Sus scrofa: one gene and its partner. The protein of the gene in region 1 purifies or fractionates together with the protein of each later gene. This does not show direct contact. Links are inferred from orthologs where the notes say so. Each region holds a gene or a part of one and is shown in the gene's direction. Other genes may lie near its edges.

What was found.
Region 2: the proteins of SERBP1 (region 1) and TSR1 purify together in Homo sapiens (affinity purification with mass spectrometry; 3 studies listed by BioGRID and IntAct, with this or other methods). This does not show direct contact. The link is inferred for Sus scrofa from reciprocal best matches to the Homo sapiens genes SERBP1 and TSR1.

Annotation. Positions count from the first base shown.
Region 1 is NC_010448.4:145,193,162-145,196,979, forward strand, and holds part of SERBP1 (plasminogen activator inhibitor 1 RNA-binding protein), read left to right. Parts: intron 1-2,084; coding exon 2,085-2,262; intron 2,263-3,818. UniProt on the Homo sapiens protein: Ribosome-binding protein that promotes ribosome hibernation, a process during which ribosomes are stabilized in an inactive state and preserved from proteasomal degradation.
Region 2 is NC_010454.4:48,403,592-48,407,726, reverse strand, and holds the end of TSR1 (pre-rRNA-processing protein TSR1 homolog), read left to right. Parts: exon of another isoform or gene 1-517; coding exon 518-634; exon of another isoform or gene 635-1,240; coding exon 1,241-1,381; exon of another isoform or gene 1,382-1,485; coding exon 1,486-1,560; exon of another isoform or gene 1,561-1,690; coding exon 1,691-1,869; 3' UTR 1,870-2,221; coding exon of another isoform or gene 2,222-2,419; 3' UTR 2,420-2,763; coding exon of another isoform or gene 2,764-2,973; 3' UTR 2,974-3,421; downstream 3,422-4,135. Other genes in the region: SRR (serine racemase), read right to left, coding at 2,222-2,419, 2,764-2,973, 3,453-3,527, 3,657-3,776. UniProt on the Homo sapiens protein: Required during maturation of the 40S ribosomal subunit in the nucleolus.

The DNA of each region.
Region 1 (3,818 bases):
TGGCCGCACCCACCACATATGGACGTTCCCAGGCCAGTGGTTCAATCTGAGCCATAGCAGCTGCAGCAGTGCTGGATCCTTTAACCCTCTGCACTTGGCCAGGAATCTAACCTGAGCTGCTGCATTCAGATTCTTAACCCACTGTGCCATAGCAGGTACTCCAGTTCGCTAGCTTTCTCAATCCTCTCTATTTTCTGAGTTTTTAAGTAGAAGGTGGTTTTGAAATTGTTTTTTCAAGGGTGGGAGAGTTTAGAGACTCAAATTATACTACTAGAAATAATTGAATGCCTTCCTCTAATTTCCATTGATATAAGAAGTTATATGCCAGTCATTTCCTTCAGTATGTGATTTAAATTCTTGCATTACAGATTATTTAGGTCAGTAATTTCTTAACCAGAACATATTCAGATTAGTCAGGGAGGGGGTGTTTTTCTAAACTTTTCTTTTTCTCTAGAAAGAATTGTTCTTACAGTGAACCACTATTAATGATTAGAAAACCCTATTTAGTGGATTTGATGATTTACTACTACTGGAGAGAGTAGATAAAAGTACATGATGTTAACTGATGTATGGAACTTGGGGTGATACAAGTTCATTTGTATGAAACTGGAATCTTAATTTTGTTTAATAATGAAATAGTAAGTTAAATAAACCTTTTGTAACATTAAGTACTTCACAATGCTGAACACAAATGCTGTTCCCTTAATAAAGAGCTCACCTTTAAATCACTTTAAGAGTAACCTGCTAAGATTCTACCAGAAGTAAATGATGCATTGATAGGGTGTTGGAGGCAAATTCTTAGTTCAGTTCCCAGGACTGAAATTGGAGGTGATATGTGGTCTAAAGAACATGAAGATTAGGGCAGCCTCAAGTCTTATTCCAGAATAGGGGAGAATCTGAACATAGTACTGTCTTGCAGATGCAAGTGTAAATTTAGTAAGCACAACTTCTGCTGAATTTGATCAGTTTCCTTATGTGGAGTTCCTAGAGCTGCTTTGTTTTATTTGATTCTTACAACAACCTTTGAAAGTAGGTGTTAATGGTTCCATGGTATGATAAGGGTATGCTGAATTTTGTTGTTTGCTGTGTTATAACTTATGGGTACCTGGGATTTTTTTTTGATCTTTAGTTTTCTCATCTGTAAACTGACAGGGTTGGACTTGACAGCCAAGATCTCATCAATTCACTGTAAACTTGGTCTAAGAAGTTTTAAAATAGGATTTGTCAAACAGAAAAGAGTAGTGTGGATGGGAGATATTTGAGCTCTATGGCTGACTGAATCACCTGCTATCTTTGGAAAGAAGCGGGGCTCCCAAAATAGCAAACAACTTGTTTGGTGACAATTGGAAATTGAAATGAAATAGTGGATTCCTAGGCCCATGCTTTGTTTCTGTAAAAAGGGAAAGGGATAATAAATAATAGTTAAAGCCAGAGAATTAGAAGTAACTGATTTGGTGATAAGGATTGAAGCCAGTTTGTTTTGTAGAGAGTTCTATTACTAGTGAAACTTCAGTCTTCTTTCTATATACAGTTTGGTTTGAAAGTTGGAGTATATAAATTTTAGGATTTGTAGAAATTAAAGATTTGCCTTAAGTATTAAATAAAGAATAGGGGAACAGTTCTTTTATATTTTAGAGTACGAAACTTGGTTGCTCACAGGCCTCCTAGATGATTACTTTCACATACTCACTTTATGTGTTGTGTGTTGTGGGAAATGAATGGAAATTAAAACTGATTTAGGAGAACCTAGGTTGAGGATTTTAAGCATGTGTATGTCTAGTTTTAAGGAACATGTTTTGGTCAAGCCAATTCAAGATTGTGTAACTGATAGGTGGTCACTTAAGGATTTATGAAGATGAATTGTAGGTTCCGTAGTGATCCATACTTTCACTAATTTCAATAAATGTTGAATTCCTTGTCACCGTCAAGTCATATGTTAGCCATTGGGTTTCAAAGAAAACTGATTCTCCCGGTTTTTAATAATCTAGAAGATTATCAACCAGCCAAGATTAACTTCCTTACTTAGAAGTTACATGATTTTATCAGCTCCCACCAGGTGTAAAACTTAAACAAATTTTTTACAGGGAGAACGAAGTTGAAGAAGTAAAGGAAGAGGGTCCAAAAGAAATGACTTTGGATGAGTGGAAGGCTATTCAAAATAAGGACCGGGCAAAAGTAGAATTTAATATCCGAAAACCAAATGAAGGTGCTGATGGGCAGTGGAAAAAGGGATTTGTTCTTCATAAGTCAAAGAGTGAAGAGGTAAAATGAAGTTTTGTGGTTGAAAATGTTCAGATGTGTCTTGGATTGTATTTACAATTTTTGTTTTAAGAAAATCATGTAAATAATCTGTTTATAAAAAAGAGAGACAAATTTTACATAGGATTATATGGGGCAGATAAGTTGCCTGAAAAGGAAAATAAACTGCAGTATCATATATTCTAAGAAATTAGTCCTTCAGAGTTACAACAGTATTTTTAAAAATTATATCTAACTGGGATTCATTAAAAGACTACTTTTAGGTTGAAAAGTTGGTGTTTTCGTGTGATGTAAACTGAAACTGCATATGCCATATATAATGTGTAAATGTTAGTATTCTCTTTTACTGAAGAGTGATGTCTTGTAAAGACCAGAGAATTAATTTATGGGTTTCCCTTACTTAACATGGAAGCTAGTAAGAATATTTGAGAAAGATATGCGACTTTTGATTTGGTGACTTCTACTTAAGCGTTGGGACACATTCTTAAAGGAATGTCCAACTGCTATATCCTTGTAGGGTTTTGTGTAAGTATAAGACTTAGTTGCAGAGTTAAATTGAAGTGTTATGAAGGTAACCTCTGATAAAAAGAATCAATAAAATCTTTGTACATTTTAGTTTTCTAAACCAAAAAAAATTAGCTGTGAAACAAACTTGAGAGTATTTTGAAATGAGGTTTAGAGATGATTTTTTTAAACATCGACTTCATGCAAGTATAAATGAGGACATTGGCCATTCCTATAGGAAAAGAAAAAGATTTGCTTCATTAGAAGGGTTTTGATTTTTTGTTGTTGTTCATGGAGTTAAATTGGTAAGAGTGCTTTGCAATAACTAATGTTTATAATTAGACATAGCAGAAATTGGCACAACACTGTATATTAGCTATACTTTAATAAAAAATAAGACTGTTTAATCTGCTAGTGATTTTGTGCATTTGCATTTATGTTTTAGGCTCATTTAAAAGAGCCTTCTATTGCCTTGAAATTCAGTTTAAATTTATTTAATTTTTTCATTTTCTGACTAGAGGTCACATTTATTTATTTATTTGTTTATTTTTGTCTTTTTGCCATTTCTTGGACCGTTCCCACAGCATATGGAGGTTCCCAGGCTAGGGGTCCAATCGGAGATGTAGCCACTGGCCTACGCCAGAGCCACAGCAACGCAGGATCCCAGCCGCATCTGCGACCTACACCACAGCTCACGGCAACGCCGGATCGTTAACCCACTGAGCAAGGCCAGGGATCGAACCCGCAACCTCATGGTTCCTAGTCGGATTCGTTAACCTCTGCGCCACGATGGGAACTCCCTCGGTTTAAATTTAACCTAAAGGAAGGTACAACAGGATGACTTAATTCAAGTAATAGATGATTAAAGGGGTAAAAACATGTATGCAAATTAAAAATACAGGTGTTGCTGATGAGGTGTGTTCCTGATTGGCGGTGTCTTTGCAGTGCCAGGACACAGGTTCAATCCCCGGCCCAGTGCAGTGGGTTAAAGGATCTGGTGTTGCTGTGGTGTAGATGGAAACATGTATTTTAAATTAAAACATACTTTAAATTAG
Region 2 (4,135 bases), on another chromosome or scaffold:
CAACCTCATGGTTCCTAGTCGGGTTCGTTAACCACTGCGCCACGACGGGAACTCCCCAGTTGTATTTTTAAATTTAATTTTTAAAAATGTATTGTCTGTGCTTTTTTGTGCTACAATGACAGAGTTGAATAGTTGGAACAAAGCCTGAAATAATTACTATCTGACACTTCATAGAAATGTATGCCAGTCCTTGCTCAAGACTAAGAGCTGTTGAGTTAGTGGGGTGCTTTGCTGTAAAGCACTGATTCTCAAATGAGGTAGAAGTGATGGGTATCAGAGTCACCTGAAAAACTTTTGTTCAAGCTCCAAGATTCTGCCTCCAGTTGAAAAATCACTCTGATAGGATTGAGTTGTATCTTTCGGTTGTATTGAGGCCAGAAGATATTTGGAAAACTTGTAGGATAAAGAAACACTAGTTGCCTTAGGTTTAAGAGTTGCAGTCATAATAGGCCTCTGGATTATCTATTGTTTCTCAAATTACTTTTTGGTTTTTATTTTTTAACCTCTATTATGGCAGCGGATAAACATAAATTTCAGAGATTCTTGACTGCTGACATGGCCCTGGTGGTGACAGTATATGCCCCAATCACCTTTCCTCCTGCATCTGTGCTGCTTTTCAAACAGAACAGCAATGGTAAGTTGAGTTCACAGAGATAAATAGGCCTGCAAGTCTTAATAAGTTTAAACTGCTTTATTTACATTTGGGAGCAAGGTAATGGTTGTTTTCAAAATGTCTGAATCTCAGCCTCAGAGTGGGTCTGAGGCAGGGATGACAAATAAGGTTTTATCTTGTTTGCAAACCTTGGCTAATTGGTAGAGGCTGCTATATTTAGGCTAGGTTCTGAGGACAGGCTCAGCAGGCATGTCACGTAGTCATCTTTGCCATGGACCCAGGAGGGCAGCATAGTATATCCCTTCTTTAAGATGTCCTGAATTTTTTAAAAAAGAAAGAAGGAAGGAAAGGAAAAAGGGGATTCCTGCTGTGGCACAGTAGGTTAAGAATCTGACTTCAGCAGCTTTGGTTGCTGAGGAGGCATGGGTTCCATACCCAACCTGGCACAGTAGCTGCAACTCGGATTTAGTCCCTGGCCTAGGAACTTCCATATGCTGTGAGTATAGCCATTAACGGGAAAAAAAAAAAAGATTTTTCAAAGATCTTGCATAGGTCTTTAAATAGACTGGACGCTGAATGAAGGCTTTGACTTAATAGACTTCCTGCCCCTCTGCCTTTGCCCCTTAGGAATGCACAGTCTCATTGCCACAGGCCATCTATTGTCAGTGGATCCAGACAGAATGGTCATCAAGAGAGTTGTTCTGAGTGGTCATCCTTTTAAAATTTTTACTAAGATGGCCGTGGTGCGTTACATGTTCTTCAGCAGAGGTAGGTGTGAAGGACGGGGTCTAGCTGCCTCTGTGGGGTGAGGTTGGGTTTAATTTTGTGGGTAAATGTTTCATCTTGGTCTTCTGTGTGTGTTTCATTCTAAGAGGATGTGCTGTGGTTTAAACCAGTGGAACTGAGAACAAAGTGGGGACGTAGGGGATACATCAAGGAGCCTTTAGGTAAGAGAATGTGGGATTTGGGATCTTGTTTAGATTTCCCCAGTGCTACTAAATGATGATTGGGTTAAAAGGCCACTGCTTTAAAATTGTTCTGTTTCAATTTGACCAACTAGCTCTGTTTTCTTTCTAGGTACTCATGGCCACATGAAGTGCAGTTTTGATGGGAAGCTAAAATCTCAGGACACAGTACTGATGAACCTCTATAAACGAGTTTTCCCCAAATGGACTTATGATCCATATGTACCGGATCCAGTACCTTGGGTGAAAAATGAGATCTCTTCAACAGTACCTGAAGAGGACATGGAATAATGGATTCTGTGGGCTTCTGTCTTGTTGCTGCCAGTTAGCACTCTGGGGGTGGGAGCCCGTAGGTTGTGACTGGACAGTTTGTTTTCTGCATAGGCTTAGGGGTCTCTACTCCTCTTTGCAGAAGACTTTCTTAGCCTTAACAAGGTGTCTCAGTTAAGTATCGATGTTTTTCTATCCCTACTTAGTCTGAAAACTATTAAATCTTACTGAAATGTCATTCTACATCAGGAGTTTGACAGGTGTTTAAGAGGGGAAGATTAGGAAGTTGACAGTGACCAGGAGACAGAATTTCCAGGTGTCTGTTCTAGACATTGAATCCCTTTTTGTCCTTTTGCACATATTAAACAGAATGTTAAGGAGCTGGCTTTTCAGCCTGCCTCATCCAAGCTAGGGAGGTTAAGTCTACATTTCCACCACTGAGCACAATGCAAATGTTCTTTACTTCTGCGGAAACTGTTTGAAAATGCTGAGACAGCACAGCAGCCACTCCAACACCAGCTGTAGGTTCAATAAGCAGTTTCATCCTCTCCCACACCAGCTGGGTTGCATACTGTTAATATGGAAGGGAGTAAGAATTAGTAAAATGATAGCCGGGGAAAGAGCCTAGTTGGTTGGCCTTTTAAGTTAAAGGCCAGATGAGAATATATGCCCAGTCTGAATTTTCTTATTGCTGTATGTTTGTGCTTGCCAGTGAAACGGGCAGGGCTTGCTTGCTTTCCCCCCCCCCCCCATTCAAACTACACTTCTGTTATCTTGATACATCTAGGGCACCCTCCCACATTCATGAAACCACCTAGTCAAGTCCCCAGTGGGTGAGTTGCTACTTACAAAGGGAAGGGTTTTTGCATAAGTTGCTCCATTCTTTTGTTATTTCTTTACCTCTTGGAGCCTCACCTTAATTTCATCCTCTGTGACAGTGAAGACATCATCCACAAGGTCCCTTATGATAGGCCAGGTGTTTAGGCCAATGCTGGATTTGACCCCATCTGCTATTGTGTCTGGAGGTTGAGGATTGGGGGTCAGTTCTCCTCTCAGTTTGGACTGGTAGCAGTCATCTGCATTCAAGGGTTCAGCAGCATATACCTTCACATTAGGTCTCAGAGCCTAGGAAGAGGAATATTAGATACCTTACAACTGGCCAAAGCATTTTGCCTGCATGCTTGAAGTAAAAAGTAGGCAGTACGATGATTAACACATTTCTGCCAAAGAGTCTTTTAATTGATGTAATGGAAACCGGGTCTTTGAGCACTTTAAATTGGATTCCACCATGTGTTGCCTAGAACACAGCTGGTTCTGCTGGTGACTTGGGAAAAGAATAACCCAACTTGGATTGTAGGTTGATGAGATGGAATTCAAAGAAAGGACTGTGAGATTGCCACTCACTGTAACTGCTTTTATGCTGTAAAGTTTTCATTAAGGAAGGAGTGGTGATGCAGAGAAGGGGCTTCTGACTCAAGTGCCAAGGGATGATGAGAAGGAATGGCAATTTGGAGGGAATGTTGGGCAGATACTCACAATGTACTATGATCTAAAATAAACTTCTATGCCTGAAGTGGGAAGTCCTCCAGAAGCTGTTTTCTCACCTTCACTGTAATTGCTATTCCAGCAGCCATTCCTCCTCCTCCTACCGGTACCACCAGTGCATCTACCAAGGGGAGCTTTAGTGAAAAGAATATAAATAAGTCTATTAATAACCAATTTTATGTGTGCATATAAAATAATTGGTTCTACAGCCTTAAACCCACTGTTTAGCATTACCAGTAGCTAAACAAGAGGTAAGCTTTTACCTGGTTCAGCACTTCCATGGCAATTGTCCCCTGCCCAGCTATCACTGCAGGCTCCTGATTGGGATGTACCATGGTCCCTTCTGTCTCTTCCACAATTCTTTTTGCAACATTTTCTCTGGACTGAAAGAGTACATCAATTTAGCTTTATATGTATTTAATAGCATTCCCAACAAGTTAAATTTAGTCACCAGACTGTTCCGGTACTAGGGATATAACTGAACAGAACAGTCCCTGCACTCATATTCCGATGGGATTATATGCTAATATGGTGGGGAGGGGTGGGCTATAAGTAAATATATAGTATGTCTAAATGCTTCAGAGGAAAATAAAATTATTTTATATAGGGTGCTCAGGAAGGGCCTCTGGTAAAATTTTAATAGATTTGAACAAGTCCTGTGTACCTCCAGAGTATTCCAGGGAGAGAGTAATAGCAAGGCCAAAGACCAAAGAGTAGGAGTGCTTGGCTTTCTGAGAAACTG